Callithrix jacchus: one gene and its partners. Each later gene encodes a partner of the first gene's protein in a complex. Links are inferred from orthologs where the notes say so. Each region holds a gene or a part of one and is shown in the gene's direction. Other genes may lie near its edges.

Evidence for each region.
Region 2: the proteins of GNAQ (region 1) and CASR are in contact, whole or in part, in a cryo-EM structure (PDB 8SZG), measured with the Homo sapiens proteins. The link is inferred for Callithrix jacchus from reciprocal best matches to the Homo sapiens genes GNAQ and CASR. Residues at the interface, in NP_002063.2 of Homo sapiens: His63, Leu196, Gln197, Ser198, Ile323, Tyr325, Ile337, Arg338, Phe339, Phe341, Ala342, Lys345, Asp346, Ile348, Leu349, Gln350, Leu351, Asn352, Leu353, Glu355, Tyr356, Leu358, Val359; in NP_000379.3 of Homo sapiens: Lys644, Ala645, Asn647, Arg701, Val702, Leu704, Val705, Phe706, Ala708, Lys709, Ile710, Pro711, Thr712, Phe714, Phe801, Arg873, Thr876, Ala877, His879, Ala880, Phe881, Val883, Ala884, Arg886, Ala887, Thr888, Leu889.
Region 3: the proteins of GNAQ (region 1) and CCKBR are in contact, whole or in part, in a cryo-EM structure (PDB 7F8W), measured with the Homo sapiens proteins. The link is inferred for Callithrix jacchus from reciprocal best matches to the Homo sapiens genes GNAQ and CCKBR. Residues at the interface, in NP_002063.2 of Homo sapiens: Arg30, Arg34, Asp35, Arg37, Arg38, Leu40, Ser198, Val199, Phe341, Lys345, Asp346, Ile348, Leu349, Gln350, Asn352, Leu353, Lys354, Glu355, Tyr356, Asn357, Leu358, Val359; in NP_795344.1 of Homo sapiens: Thr87, Val88, Thr89, Asn90, Glu151, Arg152, Ala155, Ile156, Pro159, Leu160, Ala162, Arg163, Val164, Trp165, Gln166, Thr167, Ile241, Leu245, Gly248, Leu249, Val331, Leu335, His394, Arg396, Phe397.
Region 4: the proteins of GNAQ (region 1) and PLCB3 are in contact, whole or in part, in a cryo-EM structure (PDB 8UQO), measured with the Homo sapiens proteins. The link is inferred for Callithrix jacchus from reciprocal best matches to the Homo sapiens genes GNAQ and PLCB3. Residues at the interface, in NP_002063.2 of Homo sapiens: Pro185, Thr186, Thr187, Ile189, Glu191, Pro193, Arg202, Gln209, Arg210, Ser211, Glu212, Arg213, Arg214, Lys215, Trp216, Ile217, His218, Val240, Glu241, Glu245, Glu249, Glu250, Ala253, Leu254, Arg256, Thr257, Ile258, Thr260, Tyr261; in NP_000923.1 of Homo sapiens: Pro257, Arg258, Leu259, Asn260, Glu261, Val262, Leu263, Arg707, Asp709, Lys710, Ile719, Asp721, Gly722, Ile723, Val724, Ala725, Ser845, Asp846, Tyr847, Ile848, Pro849, His852, Tyr855, Ala856, Ala858, Leu859, Ile860, Asn861, Pro862, Ile863.

Annotation. Positions count from the first base shown.
Region 1 is NC_133502.1:104,909,263-104,913,514, forward strand, and holds the start of GNAQ (guanine nucleotide-binding protein G(q) subunit alpha), read left to right. Parts: upstream 1-1,445; 5' UTR 1,446-2,157; coding exon 2,158-2,293; intron 2,294-4,252.
Region 2 is NC_133516.1:80,726,746-80,730,258, reverse strand, and holds part of CASR (extracellular calcium-sensing receptor), read left to right. Parts: intron 1-3,365; coding exon 3,366-3,489; intron 3,490-3,513. UniProt on the Homo sapiens protein: G-protein-coupled receptor that senses changes in the extracellular concentration of calcium ions and plays a key role in maintaining calcium homeostasis.
Region 3 is NC_133511.1:71,937,179-71,940,691, forward strand, and holds the end of CCKBR (gastrin/cholecystokinin type B receptor), read left to right. Parts: intron 1-965; coding exon 966-1,217; intron 1,218-1,384; coding exon 1,385-1,634; intron 1,635-1,929; coding exon 1,930-2,102; intron 2,103-2,288; coding exon 2,289-2,827; 3' UTR 2,828-3,407; downstream 3,408-3,513. UniProt on the Homo sapiens protein: Receptor for gastrin and cholecystokinin. The CCK-B receptors occur throughout the central nervous system where they modulate anxiety, analgesia, arousal, and neuroleptic activity.
Region 4 is NC_133511.1:121,319,167-121,322,679, forward strand, and holds part of PLCB3 (1-phosphatidylinositol 4,5-bisphosphate phosphodiesterase beta-3), read left to right. Parts: intron 1-1,123; coding exon 1,124-1,220; intron 1,221-1,304; coding exon 1,305-1,389; intron 1,390-1,657; coding exon 1,658-1,782; intron 1,783-2,108; coding exon 2,109-2,263; intron 2,264-2,342; coding exon 2,343-2,504; intron 2,505-3,195; coding exon 3,196-3,295; intron 3,296-3,388; coding exon 3,389-3,493; intron 3,494-3,513. UniProt on the Homo sapiens protein: Catalyzes the production of the second messenger molecules diacylglycerol (DAG) and inositol 1,4,5-trisphosphate (IP3).

The DNA of each region.
Region 1 (4,252 bases):
GAAGGACGTTAACACACCTGTTGTCTAAGAAGCCTATGTGAATTCTTGATCTGTAGCAAAAGCAAAGTCATGAACTGTACTTTACACTCCGGATCAGCAGGTTGCACTAGGGACACTGCAGAGAACACATGAAACGTGAAAAGGTGGTTTTCTTCATAAAAGCCCATTTTCTTTGAAGACCTCAGGTTCCTTTAAGGCAGGAAGTAACATGAGTTTCACCTCCTGTAGCTATTAAACCAAATAAAACCTGATTGAGCAAGATTATTTTCGTGTGCTATTTATCAGTAGACGATCACAATGAAATATGCATACGACAGTTAACTGCCTCAAATATGGCAAACCAAAATAAAAAAAATAGAATGCCATTTTGCTGAGGTCATCTTAGTTTCTATTCTATTTCATTCTTTCCATTTATTCCACATTATTTTACATTTTCCCGGAAGTCATCCATAATTCAGTGTAGAAGGGTAAATTCGATTACTTGGCAGCTAAACATGGTGTGCCCTGTCAGAAACAAGAAGACTTGTAAAACAAAATCAAAAACAACTTCCCAAAACGCCCCAATACAACAAAAAACCAACAACCGAAAAAACAAAGGCATGGAAAGCTGGAACCTATCTGGGGGCTTTTGGAAACTTGGGCAGCTTCCTTTCTCTGCTCAGGATTTAGATTTCTATCTCCCGTTACTTTGTGAACTGCTTCTCCTGTGAATTTCCCCCCCCCCGCTACGCCTCCGGACACCGGTGCCAGTTCCTTCCCTTCCTCAGTCGCCTCCCCACAGTAGAGAGGATCTTATTTTATAAGACTGCACCGGGGTCAGAGGTGATGTGCGAGAGTTTCTAACCGAATGGCGTTTTAGAAATAGGAACGGGAAACATAGAAGCGGCTGAGGAGCGTCCCCGCGGAGCAGACGGGCAGGGCCCTGGAGCGACGGACGCCAGCGCCGGCGCCGCGGGGAGCGCGTGCGGGACTCCGCGGGGCCGCCTACCGCGACTTCAGCAGGGGCCGCGGCCGCGCTCCCGGGCCGGTGGGCTGAGGCAGGCAGAGGCCGCCATATTCCCGCCTTACCACGCCCGGCCGGCCGGCAGCCGGAGGTAAGCGGCGGCTCTGACAAGCAGCGGCGGCCGCTGCCTCCGGCCGCGCGGCGGCGACCCGGCCCGGCCCCGGCTGGGGGCAGCCGTGACCGCTGCGCTCGCGGCCTCTGCCCAGGGTGCGAAAGCAGGAGGCACCAGCAGAGCCCGAGGGGGCCGGCCCAACCGGGTAGCCGCGCGGGCGAGGCGAGAGCCGCACTGGGAGGCGCGCCGCGGCGGCCGCGAGCCCAGGAAAGCGTTCCGGGAGGGGCCGGGCGGCACCGCCTCCCGGCTCCCCTCCTCCCGCGCCTGTCCCCTCCGCCTCCTCCCCCTCCTCCTTTCGCCGCCGCCTCTTCCCTCCCGGATCTGTGCTCCAGTTCAGAGAAAGAAGAAAATGTGTGTGTGTGGCGAGGGGGAGGGCGCGCACTGAGCAGCCGCTCCGCGCCTGGCAATCGGGGCAGGGGGCGGGCGTCTGGCGAAGGCGGAGGCGGAGGCGGGGGCGGAGGAGCGCGCGGCTGCCGGGCGGGCCGGGAACCGGGTCTGCGCGCGAGCCGGGCGGTGGGCGCGGACAGGGCCGAGGGCGCCCGGGAGCCGTGTCAGGCGGCGGCGAGGAGCGGGCGCGCCGGGCGCGGGAAGCCGTCGGCGGCCGCTCGCTGCGGGGACACCCCGGTGGATGAGCTCTCGCCGCCAGGCGCACGGCGTAGGGGAGCCTCGCAGGCGGCGGCGGCGGCGGCGCGGGGGGCGAGGCGGGACGCCCATTCTCGGGGAAGGAGGCGCGGGCGTCTGAGCGAGGCCGGGCGCGGCGGCCTTCCCTCACTCGCCCCCCGAGCCAGCGCCCGCCTCCCGCGCCCGCCTCGCTTCTCCAGTCGGCCCAGGCAGTTCGCTCCCGCCGCGCCCCCGGCCCACCTGGTGGCCCCGGCCCTGGCCGCGGCAGTCGCGGCGGTTCCGGGAGCTCGTACCGGACGCGCGCCCGGGCGGCGGGGACTCGGCGGCCACCGCTGCCTCGGGGGAGCGAGGGCGGGAGGGTGTGTGTGCGCGCTGTGAGCAGGGGGTGCCGGTGGGGCTGCAGCGGAGGCACTTTGGAAGAATGACTCTGGAGTCCATCATGGCGTGCTGCCTGAGTGAGGAGGCCAAGGAAGCCCGGAGGATCAACGATGAGATCGAGCGGCAGCTCCGCAGGGACAAACGGGACGCCCGCCGGGAGCTCAAGCTGCTGCTGCTCGGTGAGTACCGCCCGGGGCCGACCGCCGCGGGTCCTCCCGCCGGGCCTCTGCGAACCCCCGCCCACCACCCCCGGCCCCGCGGGGCAGCTGCCCTCGGCGTCCCCCGCCCCCCGGCGCCCGGGACTTGCCCCTACCCTCCCGGGCGCGCCCCCGGCCACTGCCTTCACCCGCGCGGGTGCGCGGGCGCGTACACACACGCACGCAGCAGAGGGGTCGGGCTGCCCTGCCCGGTGCCTCGGCTTGTTCCTTTTCGTATCCCTGAGGGCTGTGCCTTATCTGCTGTGCATCTGCTAAATGGCAGATCACTCTGGCCAGAGGCGCAGGGGTGGAAAGGTGGGCAGAGGGATTGAATTTCTAGTGCCGTGACCGCGGCTTCCCGTGGGTTGGTGGCGTGGGGAGCCGTGTGTGTGGCCCAGCGGGTGGCGAGCCGAGCCCGGGACACATTGGGGGATGGCCTGCGCCGGGGTGGCTGGTGTGCATCCAAGATCAGTGTCCTCTGGGGTCAGGAGGGAATGGGGGAACGGCGGGCAGACTCGCAACTGGATTCCCAGAGCAGTGATGACGAGGAAACCAAGTGGTTGGCCCTCCAAAGAAAGGGCCTGTGTATTGGGGGCGGGGCGGGGCGGGAGGGCCAGCCCAAATGTGTCACACAAGAGCTGTTCTCTAGCCACCAAACCTTCGAAAGGAGGGAGCCTAGAAGAGTTTCTTGGCCAGTGGATGGTGACAGGCGTGTTTCTCGTCTGCACCATTCCTTCTAGATAAAGATGAGGGATAGGGGAGCGTTGTACTGTGTGGTTGTTGACAGCGACCGGTATCTTTTGTTTAATGAGGCAACCCAGATGTAGGCCTGAATTCACAATAGTTACTGCTGAAAACCAATGTAGCCTCTCAATTACTCCCATGGCAACAAATAGAAGCCTTTTGTTTAAAACAGATAGCAGTTTAATATCTTTGGAATCTAGGCTAGAAGGAAAACGGTAAGCATACAGGAAAAATTTCCCTCTAGTCTTGAAAAAAAAAATCATTCTGCTTTAACACGAAGTTAGCAAGAAAATGCCATTTCTCAAATTGGAATTTATTGATTATTATCTCTGAGAGGATGTTCAGAATCAAGTGATCGAGGTTCACATACAAACCAGAGCGACAGAACCCTGAGCTATTGGGATAGGAAGAGCAAAGAGCTTTGCAGTAACAGACTTGAAAAATGACTGCCCTTGAGTTCTGGATATTTGCATGTATAATTGTATAATAAATATGTTTCTCAAACATTTCTGTAAGAAAAGAATATTGTGCTGTCAGTTGATGTTTGAGAAGCATGCATTTTCTTTCTTATCTTGAGCATTCCATTTGCTGGCTCAAGGAACCAATTGCCTTTGGAAATGAACTGCTTATGTACTGGACCATTTACAAGCAAGAACAAAATACACTGATCACACCAATAGTTACTAATGGTTAATTTACATGACATGCTTTCTTTATGTCTTCATTTTGAAACTCTAGATAAATGTGCACATGTTTACAAAAAACAGAAGGCAAAGCACTGTATGAAAGAGGTGGGCTTAGGGGAAGAGGAATACTGACGCTGGAAAGTAAAGATTTTTTTTTTTTTAATTCTCATTTTTGAGATACTTCTAATGACTGAAAACGGTCAGTTGAATGTTTTCTGAGTTCTCAAGATTGAGAAGAAAAGAGCGAAAAAGAGAAATACATAGAGTGTTTAAGTGCATGGTTAAGGTGAAAAGCACGGATTTTAGAGAGACTTATTTTAAGAATTTTTTTTTTCTTCTGTTGCCCTGTTGACAGTCTTTGATTCTGTTTAACTGTGAACTGGGCAGTTGAGGTCTCTCCAGCCAACCCAGTTTGCCTGAAAAGTGACAGCTCTGGGTTTCCCAGCAGTTAAGAGTTAAAGCCCAGGGGGGTTGTCAAGGGCCTAGGTTTGAATGTCTAAGGGAAATACAC
Region 2 (3,513 bases), on another chromosome or scaffold:
GGGTTTCTGATGAGATGCTACAATTTCACTGTTACCCAATATGTAGGATGGGTTATCCCTGGGAAGTTCTCCTATAGACAGTGAATCTTATCTACAGTCTGCAGTTTTTAAATAGCTTCCACCTCAGAGGGTGGATTCTCAATTATAAACATGTCATGAAATTTTCCAGGTGGAGATTTGGGGTTCCAGATGTCTGTCCACTAATGATACCTTTGTCTAACTTATGACACATTTTCACTGACTGAAGTCTAAATTGATCAGCTATACTGCCATCTGTTTAACCCTTGTTGGATCATCCAGGTTATCTTTCACCCCATTAATACATAGAATTGAATTCTCTGATGGTACACGCCTCCTCTCCACTCCAGCAGGGAGCTATTTCCCGTACAGTTCTCCATAACCCTAATGTCCTCTCCCAGACTATGTACATCATGGGCTTAAACATTGATAAACGAATAACACAGGGAATTCTCATAAATTCAATCACCGATGTTCCTGGAATATTTGACGGAGTTATAAGTTAAATCTAATTTTTTCTTAGAAACATTACCTCAACTCTAGCATGCAGTAGATACTCAACAAGTCTTAGAATCTAGTCTGTTATTTTCTGTACTTTTTGTGGAAATGACCACAAGAATACCATCTATATTTAACTATAAATTACATATTAATGACTACTCAGATTCAAGATGACATTTTCCAGCCTTCTTTTCTACTAAGTGTGGCCCTGTGACTAAATCCTGAAGTGATGTAAGTGACAGTGTTGTGGGATGGCTTCTGGGAACCTTCAAGAAAGCACTTGCAAGTATTCTTTGCTCTCTTCTTCATCCCTTCCTCTGTCTTGCCTCCTGGAAACCAAATGCCTCTATTAGGGACTATAAGGCAAAGACAAACATGTCAGAACCACCAGGTAGAAAGAGTATAGGTGTCCAACATTGTGGAGGGCTGTATCACTCTGGACCACATCCCTAGACATTTATACAAGAGAGAAATATAGTTCAGTCTTGTTGGAGTTGTTCTTTTGAGATTTTTGGCACTCTCAGCCTACCAGAAACCAAGAAGGAAAGCTACTAAACCTATTTTGTGATGATAATATAATCTTGATATCAAAAACATGTAGAATAGTACAAGCAAAGACAATTATAGGACAATATTGTTTATATATGTAGACGCTCAAGTCCTAAGTAAAACATCAGCAAACATAGACCAGCAATGTGTAAAATAATATCAGATCCTAGAAGACTTAGCAGTGAATGTACAGGAATGTAATGATAGCCAAACATTACAAAGTTCATAAATGTAGCTTATTACATTAGTAGAATAAAAGATCAAAGTCCTACAATGTCAGAAGACACGGGGAAAATATCCATTAACATTCAACACCGTCTCAGGTTAAAAACAAAAATTTCATTAATATACGAGTAGAAGGGAATCTCGCTTTACCGTGATAGAGGATGCAGCAACTATAATTTTTTTTGCATTTTAATTTATTTTAAGTTCTGGGGTACATGTGCAGAATGTGCAAATTTGTTACATAGGTAAACGTGTGCCATGGTGCTACACCTACCAACCCATCACCTGGGTATTAAGCCCAGCATGCACTAGTTCTTTTCCCTAATGCATTCCATCCCCCTCCCTTCCCTGACAGCTCCAGTGAATGTTGTTCCCCACCCTGTGTCCATGTGATCCTGTTGTTCAACTCCCACTTAGAATTGGGAACATGAGGTGTTTGGTTTTCTTTTCCTGCAAAATGTAATTTGTAACATAAAGACAAAAACCACATGATTATCTCAATAGATGCAGAAGAAACCATCAATAAAATTCAACATCCCTTCATGTTAAAAGCTCTCAATAAACTAGGTATTGAAGGAACATACTTCAAAATAATCAGAGCCATTTATGACAAACCCATCGCCAGTATCATACTGAATAGGCAAAAACTGGAAGTATTGTCCTTGAAAACTGCCACAAGACAAGGATGCCTGTCTCATCACTTTTATTCAACATAGTATTGGTAGTTCTGGCCAGGGAAATCGGGCAAGAGAAAGAAATAAAGGATATTCAAATAGGAAGAGAGGAAGCAATCATTATTCTTTAATGGGAAAAATTGAGAAGCATTCCTAGTGTGGCTTTGGGAAACAGGGCTCATAGTTTTCATTCAGTGGTCAAATGGGTTGGCAACTCAAGAAGGATCGAGAGCACATCTCTGGGGATACCTTGTCACCATATCTGAAGATGCTGATGTAAGTTGTCCTTTTCCTTCCCCGCCCCTTCCTATCCCTGGGTCATAAGAGTCTTTGCAAACATCAGGTCCAATATTGCCTTTCCATTCCTCATTCCTTAAAGATAATGTTAATCATCTTCTATTGAAGTTTTCTAAAACTCCTTTGTCAAGTCAGTCATTTCTGCTAGAAACAATGACAGTTATTTTACTGCTTTGCATATTTGTAAGACATCTTACAAAGTAGTAGGTAGAGGGGAGACTCATTAAATAGACATTATGGACATAGTAAGAGCCCCACTATGTATGAAGCGTTACTCCAGGCTTTGTACCTGGGGTTACAAAAATGAGTGAGAAGTGCTCTCTACCTTTAAGATACATATGCTGTTGCATATGTATGGGTTTTCTTTGTGGCAACCATATTTTCTGCAAATAATTACAGTTTTATTTGGTCCCTTTCAAAATGTATGCACTTATTTTTCTCATCTGATTCCACTAACTAGGCCCTCCAATGCAGAATTAAAGAGTAGTGGTGATAGTGGACATCCTTGTTTTAAAGGGAAATGCATTTAATATTTTCTCTATACAGATGATGTTTACTATAAGAGGTTTTTGGTACCCTTTTTCGAGTTAAATATATGCTTTTTCTTTATCTATTGATCATATGATGTTTTTCTCCATTAATTTGTTAATTTAGTGAATAATACTTATAGATTTTTCTAATATTAGATTTTTTTGCATTCCTGGGCATAAACCCAACTCAGTCATGATGCATTTTCCTTCTTATGTCCTTTGAGTCTGTTGGCTAGTGTTTTAGGATTTTTCATTCTGTTTTCAAGTAGTAGAAAGTAGTGGTACTCTTCCCAGATCATCATAGAATCCCATGAGTGTGTGTGTATGTATGTGTGCATGCACATGTGTGTGTTGGCCTGTGCACACTTGCCCATAGGCATCTGTCCCTTTCACAGAGATCAGAACCAAGGACTTCTGGACCTCCCTTTGCCTGGAACGGGCCCAGTATCTGCCACACTGATTCTTGTGCCCCAACTCCAACTCCTCCCTCTTAAATGTTTTGAAGAGGCTGTAGGGCTGGCCCCTGACCCTAGAGCTCTAGCCAGTCACTTTTGTGCTGTTGGTCCTCCAGGTGCCCTTCTCCAACTGCAGTCGAGACTGCCTGGCCGGGACCAGGAAAGGGATCATTGAGGGGGAGCCCACCTGCTGCTTTGAGTGTGTGGAGTGTCCTGATGGGGAGTACAGCGACGAGACAGGTAAAAGAACCCTTCTTGTGCACT
Region 3 (3,513 bases), on another chromosome or scaffold:
ATGTTTATAGAGTGAGAATGAATGTTTGGAAAGAATTAAAATACAAGGCAGAAAGTAAAATAGGCTTTAATCATTGTGCAAGAAACATGCATGGGTTAGAGAAAGGGGAGAGTAATACTAAATGAGGTGTCCAGAAGGGCCTTACAGAAGAAATAGCTGTCAATTTGAGTCTTGACCAACAAGGGAGGAATAGGAATTCACCAGATACAGAAAATAAGCTTGTGATAGGGGGTGGAAGTTCTGGGGAGAGTTGGTGAAAGAGTATTCTGGGCTGAGAAACCAACTTGAGCAGGGAGGGAATCACAAGTGCAATTGATGCATTCAAGAAACTGAGTCATCCAGTGGCTTGCTTAAATTAGTATATTGCCGGGAGCTGGGGGCAGTGAGGGTGGGGAGGAAGAGGTCCCTTCTGGGAGGATCTTGATGACATTCTGAGGGGTTGCAGACAGTAGAGAGTAAGTGAAGGGATTTTTCCTTTTGTTTTTAGAGAATAAAGACATGATCTGATGTGGTTCAAAAGGTAGCGGGTTGCCAACAGTGTAGAATACTCCAGGAAGGTCAAATAGAATAGGCTAAGAAAGGACCTTTGAATTTAGCAGTTAAAGGTAAGTGTACTTGGGAAGAAGTATGCAGTGATAGGGTACAGAATATTGTAATGGATTGAAGAGTGAATGAGAAGACACAAATAGCCTCATAACAAATTTGGCTGCAAAGGGAAGGAAAGATTTGGAACAAACCTTGAGGAGAGACAGGCTTTCTTAATGAAAGGTAGAGTTGGGCCAAGTTAACCAAAGTTCAAGGGGTTAGAAGGCTAAAGGATTCAAGTTCACCATTTACTGAGCAGTTCATGAGTAGGGAATGTAGGCATTTGGCAGGGTAGTGAGGGTTGGGGATAAGAAGGATGGAGAGGGGTTTGGCTGAATGAAGGCTGACCTCTACTGCCACCTCTCCCTTTTCTTACCCAGAATTGGAGCTGGCCGTTAGAATCACTCTTTATGCAGTGATCTTCCTGATGAGTGTTGGAGGAAATGTGCTCATCATCGTGGTCCTGGGACTGAGTCGCCGCCTGAGGACCGTCACCAATGCCTTCCTCCTCTCACTGGCAGTCAGCGACCTCCTGCTGGCTGTGGCTTGCATGCCCTTCACTCTCCTGCCCAATCTCATGGGCACATTCGTCTTTGGCACAGTCATCTGCAAGGCTGTTTCCTACCTCATGGGTGGGTGAGACAACCAAGCCATCCCTACTTGCCACTCTCCCCTCCTAAAGCCCTTGTGGATGTAGGAGTCTTCCCCAGTTGGCAGGGAGGGGTATGAGGAAGTCCCACTGATGGTTGTGTAGTGCAAGTTTCCTGGGTGACTCCTTCCTCTCTCTTCCTCTGCTTAGGGGTGTCTGTGAGTGTGTCCACGCTAAGCCTCGTGGCCATCGCACTGGAGCGCTACAGCGCCATCTGCCGACCACTGCAGGCGCGAGTGTGGCAGACACGCTCCCATGCAGCTCGCGTGATCATAGCCACGTGGCTGCTGTCCGGACTGCTCATGGTGCCCTACCCCGTGTACACTATCGTGCAACCAGTGGGACCTCGTGTGCTGCAGTGTGTGCATCGCTGGCCCAGTGCACGGGTCCGCCAGACCTGGTGAGCTTGCCCACAACCTGTCCTGGGATTTCCCTTCTCACCCCCACTAGATGCTTAAGACCATTGCTCAGAATCTTCCTCCAGCTGCTCGGAGAATTACCATGCCAATTCCTATTCTGCATCCACCGCCCTGGAATTCCAGTTTGGGTCCCCTCCCCAGTTCTCTCTCCCTTCCCAGCGGCACCCCCAAATCCTACCTGTACCTGGCCACAGCCCTAGAAACACCAGTCCTTGGCCCTTTCTCCATCTGCGATTGTAGCTGGACAGAAACCCGAGTGATCTGTGTTGCCTCCAGGTCCGTACTGCTGCTCCTGCTCTTGTTCTTCATCCCGGGTGTGGTGATGGCGGTGGCCTACGGGCTTATCTCCCGCGAGCTCTACTTAGGGCTTCGCTTTGACAGCGACAGTGACAGCGAGAGCCAAAGCAGGGTCCGAAGCCAAGGCGGGCTGCCTGGAGGGACTGGACCAGGTGAGCGAAATCCTGGAGAGGCGGAGCTTTGGAGGGCAACGGGGCCTGCTGGAGTGGGTGGGGCTGAAATAATGGAAGGAGAAAGCCGGAAATGGGGTTATGGCTCCTGCGAGCTCAGGTGGGGATTGGGTTGAAGATTGGGAGGACTCTTGCCTTTTTCTCTGACTGCCCACCCTTTGTGCTCAGGTGCTGTTCACCAGAATGGGCGTTGCCGGCCTGAGACTGGTGCGGGTGGCGAAGACAGCGATGGCTGCTACGTGCAGCTTCCACGTTCCCGGCCTGCCCTGGAGCTCTCCGCGCTGGTGGCACCCACTACTGGGCCGGGACACAGCTCCCGGCCCACCCAGGCCAAGCTGCTGGCTAAGAAGCGCGTGGTGCGAATGTTGCTGGTGATTGTCATGCTTTTTTTTCTATGTTGGTTGCCAGTTTATAGTGCCAACACGTGGCGCGCCTTTGATGGCCCAGGTGCACACCGAGCCCTCTCAGGTGCTCCCATCTCCTTCATTCACTTGCTGAGCTATGCCTCGGCCTGTGTCAACCCCCTGGTCTACTGCTTCATGCACCGTCGCTTTCGCCAGGCCTGCCTGGAAACGTGCGCTCGCTGCTGCCCCCGGCCTCCACGGGCTCGCCCCAGGCCTCTTCCCGATGAGGACCCTCCCACTCCCTCTATTGCTTCGCTCTCCAGGCTGAGCTACACCACCATCAGCACACTGGGGCCTGGCTGAGGAGTGGAGGGGCTCTGGGGGCTGAGGCAGGGAAAATGACAAGCACTGACCCTTTCCAGACACTGAAAACACAAACCACAACTGATGCAGGAGACCGACACCCAGTAGCATGGACTAACCGCAAGCACAGGAAAAGGTAGCTTACCTGACACAAGAGAAATAAGAATGGAGCCTACTCAAAAAAGGAGGCACACCTCTGATATGGGACTGAGCCTTGCCCATAGAAACATGGCAGGCGTCTTAGACACAGCATCCCTAGCAGTGAACTGTTTCTACACAGTGGGAACTCTGACAAGGGCTTACCTGCTTCTCACACACATAGATTAATGGCATTGATCGTTTTAGGGACTATGGAGCCTGGCACAGGACTGACTCTGGGATGCTCCCAGTTTGACCTCACAATCCTCTTTCCCAATCAGCACTGAAACTACCATCAGGCATAATCTCATACCTCTGACCAACAGGCTGTTCTGCACTGAAAAGTCTCTTCACCCCTTTCCAGTTAAGGATGGTGGCCCTGCCCTCTCCTTCCTTACCCAGACTCTTCAAGAAATAATAAATTATTTGACTGCCTCCTGAACTTCCTTTCTGGATTCTTTTGGGGCAGGTGATGGGGCACAGGATTTTACAATTATATCCTTCTGTCGGGTCTCTCCCACTGTTGCACACCACTGTGGCAACCCCTT
Region 4 (3,513 bases), on another chromosome or scaffold:
TGGGAAGCGTTGAGGAGCTGTGAGGAGTGGTACAGAAAAACTCAGTCTGAGCCGGGTGTGGTGGCTCATACCTCTAAGCCCAGCTACTTGGGAGGCAGAGGCATAAGAATTGCTTGAACCTGGGAGGTGGAGGTTGCAGTGAGCTGAGATTGTGCCACTGCACTCCAGCCAGGGAGACCGTGTCTCAAAACCCAAACCAAACAGATATTGCTATAAAGACAATTACTGGGGAACTAGTGAAGTTTAAAGAGGGGCTGCATATTAGATCGCACGTTAATGTCTGTTTCCCGAACTGAATATTGTACTGGAGTTACCTAAGAGAATGTCCATGCATGCTCATGTATTTACGGGTAAAGGGCATGATGTCTGCAGTTTACTCCCAAATGACTCAGCAAAAGTAATGACAATTGTAACACCTACACAGGCCAAGTGAGGGGCTCACGCCTGTAATCCTAGCACTTTGGGAGGCCGAGGTGGGAGGCTTGCCTGAGGTTGGGAGTTCAAGACCAGCCTGGCCAACATGGTGAAACCCCGTCTCTACTACAAATACATAAATTAGCCTGTCAAGATGGCGGGCGCCTGTAGTCCCAGCTACTTGGGAGGCTGAGGCAGGAAAATTGCTTGAGCCGGGGAGGAAGCGGAGGCTGCAGTGAGATTGCACCATTGCACTCCATCCTGAAAGACGAAAGAGCAAGACTCTGTCTTAAAAAAAAAAAAGTCAGTCTGGCTGTCATAAGAGGTCAGATCCGAGAGGAGCCCAGAGGAAGGGAAGGTGTGGTGAGGGGTGCCCAGAAGTCACCATTGGAAGGGCTGAGTTTGAGGGTCCTGTGAGCCACCTGAGAGGAGGCGGCAAGGTGGGGACTGGAGACGGGCTGGGAATGGATGTAACTGAACCCCTGGGCGTGGGGGTGACGGGCTCCAGTCTCTGAGGATCAGGGAGAAGAGGAGTGGCTGGGTGGCGTCCAGGGCGCATCAGTGGGACCCTGGGGAGAAGAGTGTGGGCACCAGCAGCGGTGCATGTGTAGTGATGGGAAGAGGGTCAGCGCCTCTTTCATGGGGGGCAGGTGAGGGGCTGTCCCCTGTGGTGGGAGTGGCACTGCTGACCCTGGGTTGGGGCCCACAGGGCACAGCCAGCAGCGAGGTCAATGCCACCGAGGAGATGTCCACGCTTGTCAACTACATTGAGCCTGTCAAGTTCAAGTCTTTTGAGGCTGCTCGAAGTGAGTAGGCGTGGGCGGCTGGTGTGGGAGCTTGCCCAGCTTATCCCTGCCAGGCCTGACGCCCTCTCCTGGCTCACCCCACAGAGAGGAACAAATGCTTCGAGATGTCGTCCTTCGTGGAGACCAAGGCCATGGAGCAGCTAACCAAGAGCCCCATGGAGTTTGTGGAGTATCCTTTCAAGGCACCGTGGGCGGGCAGGCCAGGGTGGAGTGTCCTGTCCCCGCGTGCGCCTCCTGCACAGGCTGCTGGTCCTCCTGTGGCCCCCGTGCACCCTGGCCTAGGGCTTGGGCAGGTCCAGGCAGTCTCAAGGGGATGGTGAGGCTGAGAAACGGAGGGGCTGGATGTGGGGGGTCACAGGAGCACCTGGCTGAGGCAGGAGGTGGAGGCTGACAGGGTGGGCCCTGGCACCCGTGTGGCCCCTGACCGCCAACCTCAGATACAACAAGCAGCAGCTCAGCCGCATCTACCCCAAGGGCACCCGTGTGGACTCCTCCAACTATATGCCCCAGCTCTTCTGGAACGTGGGGTGCCAGCTTGTTGCACTCAACTTCCAGACCCTGGGTGAGCCCTGGGCTCCGTCTTGACCCTCACCCTCAGTCTTGCTGACTCTGACCCGCGATGCTGCTGGTCTTGCCTAAATGGATTTATGACCCTGTCTAATCCCAGATTCCAGGCGAACCCAGCCCCCGACTCACCCTGCCTCCTGCCTTTGACACGCCAGACCCCTCCCCTGTCTGATCTGCCCCGGATCTGGACCCCGATGCCATTTGAACCCACCCCTGACCCTGGGCCTTGGATGCCATCTGACCCCTGATGATCTCCTGTTCCCCCACATGGCACTGTCCCGCCTGATGCCTGCCCTGCTTGACTTGGCCCCGCTGCCCCAGATGTGGCGATGCAGCTTAACGCGGGCGTGTTCGAGTACAACGGGCGCAGCGGGTACCTGCTCAAGCCAGAGTTCATGCGGCGGCCGGACAAGTCCTTCGACCCCTTCACTGAAGTCATCGTGGATGGCATTGTAGCCAATGCCTTGCGGGTCAAGGTGGGGTCTGGGAGGGCTCAGGCCGGGGGTGTCCTTGGGGCAGGACTCTCGCAGCGGCCTCACCCTCCCTGCTCCCCAGGTGATCTCGGGGCAGTTCCTGTCCGACAGGAAGGTGGGCATCTATGTGGAGGTGGACATGTTTGGCCTCCCTGTTGACACGCGGCGCAAGTACCGCACCCGGACCTCTCAGGGGAACTCCTTCAACCCTGTGTGGGACGAGGAGCCGTTTGCCTTCCCCAAGGTGAGCCGGGCGCCCTCGCCCACGCAGGCACAGGCAGATCCAGACCCGACTGCCCCGGCTCTCAGGTGGGAGAACAGGAACCAGACAGGCTGTTAGTGACTGGGGATCAGAAAGTGGGGGGCGCCCGGGGTCTGCCAGGACCTGCCTTTCCCAGTGTCAGGCTCCCTGTCCTCCTCAGGGGAAGAGACGAGGGTGAGAAGGTGAGATGGGGGTGGGGGAGTGCCAGCTAGAGGTCTTGTGTCCCCTGCAAGGAGTGGACAGAGCCTGCCCTATCTGCAAGGCAGGAGCTGAGGTCACAACCCCAAGCTCACGTCCGCTCTTCTACACCTCCCACAGCCCCGCATGGATGCAGCCTCTGCTCCCAACCTGGGTGGTGTGTTTGCAGCTTCCTACTCGTGGCTCACTCCGTTTCTAAATTGGAGATGACCAGAGCTGTCTGTAGGGGCCCTAGGGGCCTGGTTGCCTGTCGTCTTGCCACGGGGTGCTGATAGCTGTAGTCATCTACTAGGCCAGGCTGTGGAGGTGGGGTCAGCCCTCAGCTCATGGTGATGGTGACTGATGGACAGTGGGTCAGCTCAGCTAAAGGTCTGCTGTTAGGCTTTGACGGCTGTGGTTAGCTGTGGCCTGGTGGCCACAGTGGCCACAGTGGTTCGGGGTCAGCCCCGTGGCTCAGCTCCGGTCTGGCCCGCAGGTGGTGCTGCCCACGCTGGCTTCGCTTCGCATCGCAGCCTTTGAGGAGGGCGGCAAATTTGTGGGGCACCGGATCCTGCCTGTCTCTGCCATCCGCTCCGGTGAGGCCTTGGTGGGCTCTGGGCAGCCCAATGGGCAGTGGGTAGGGGCTCCGCCGGACCCAGCAACCCAACATTGGCCTCCTGCCCGCCCAGGGTACCACTATGTCTGCCTGCGGAACGAGGCCAACCAACCGCTGTGTCTGCCGGCCCTACTCATCTACACCGAGGCCTCGGACTACATTCCTGATGACCACCAGGGTGAGCCATGCCTTGGGGAC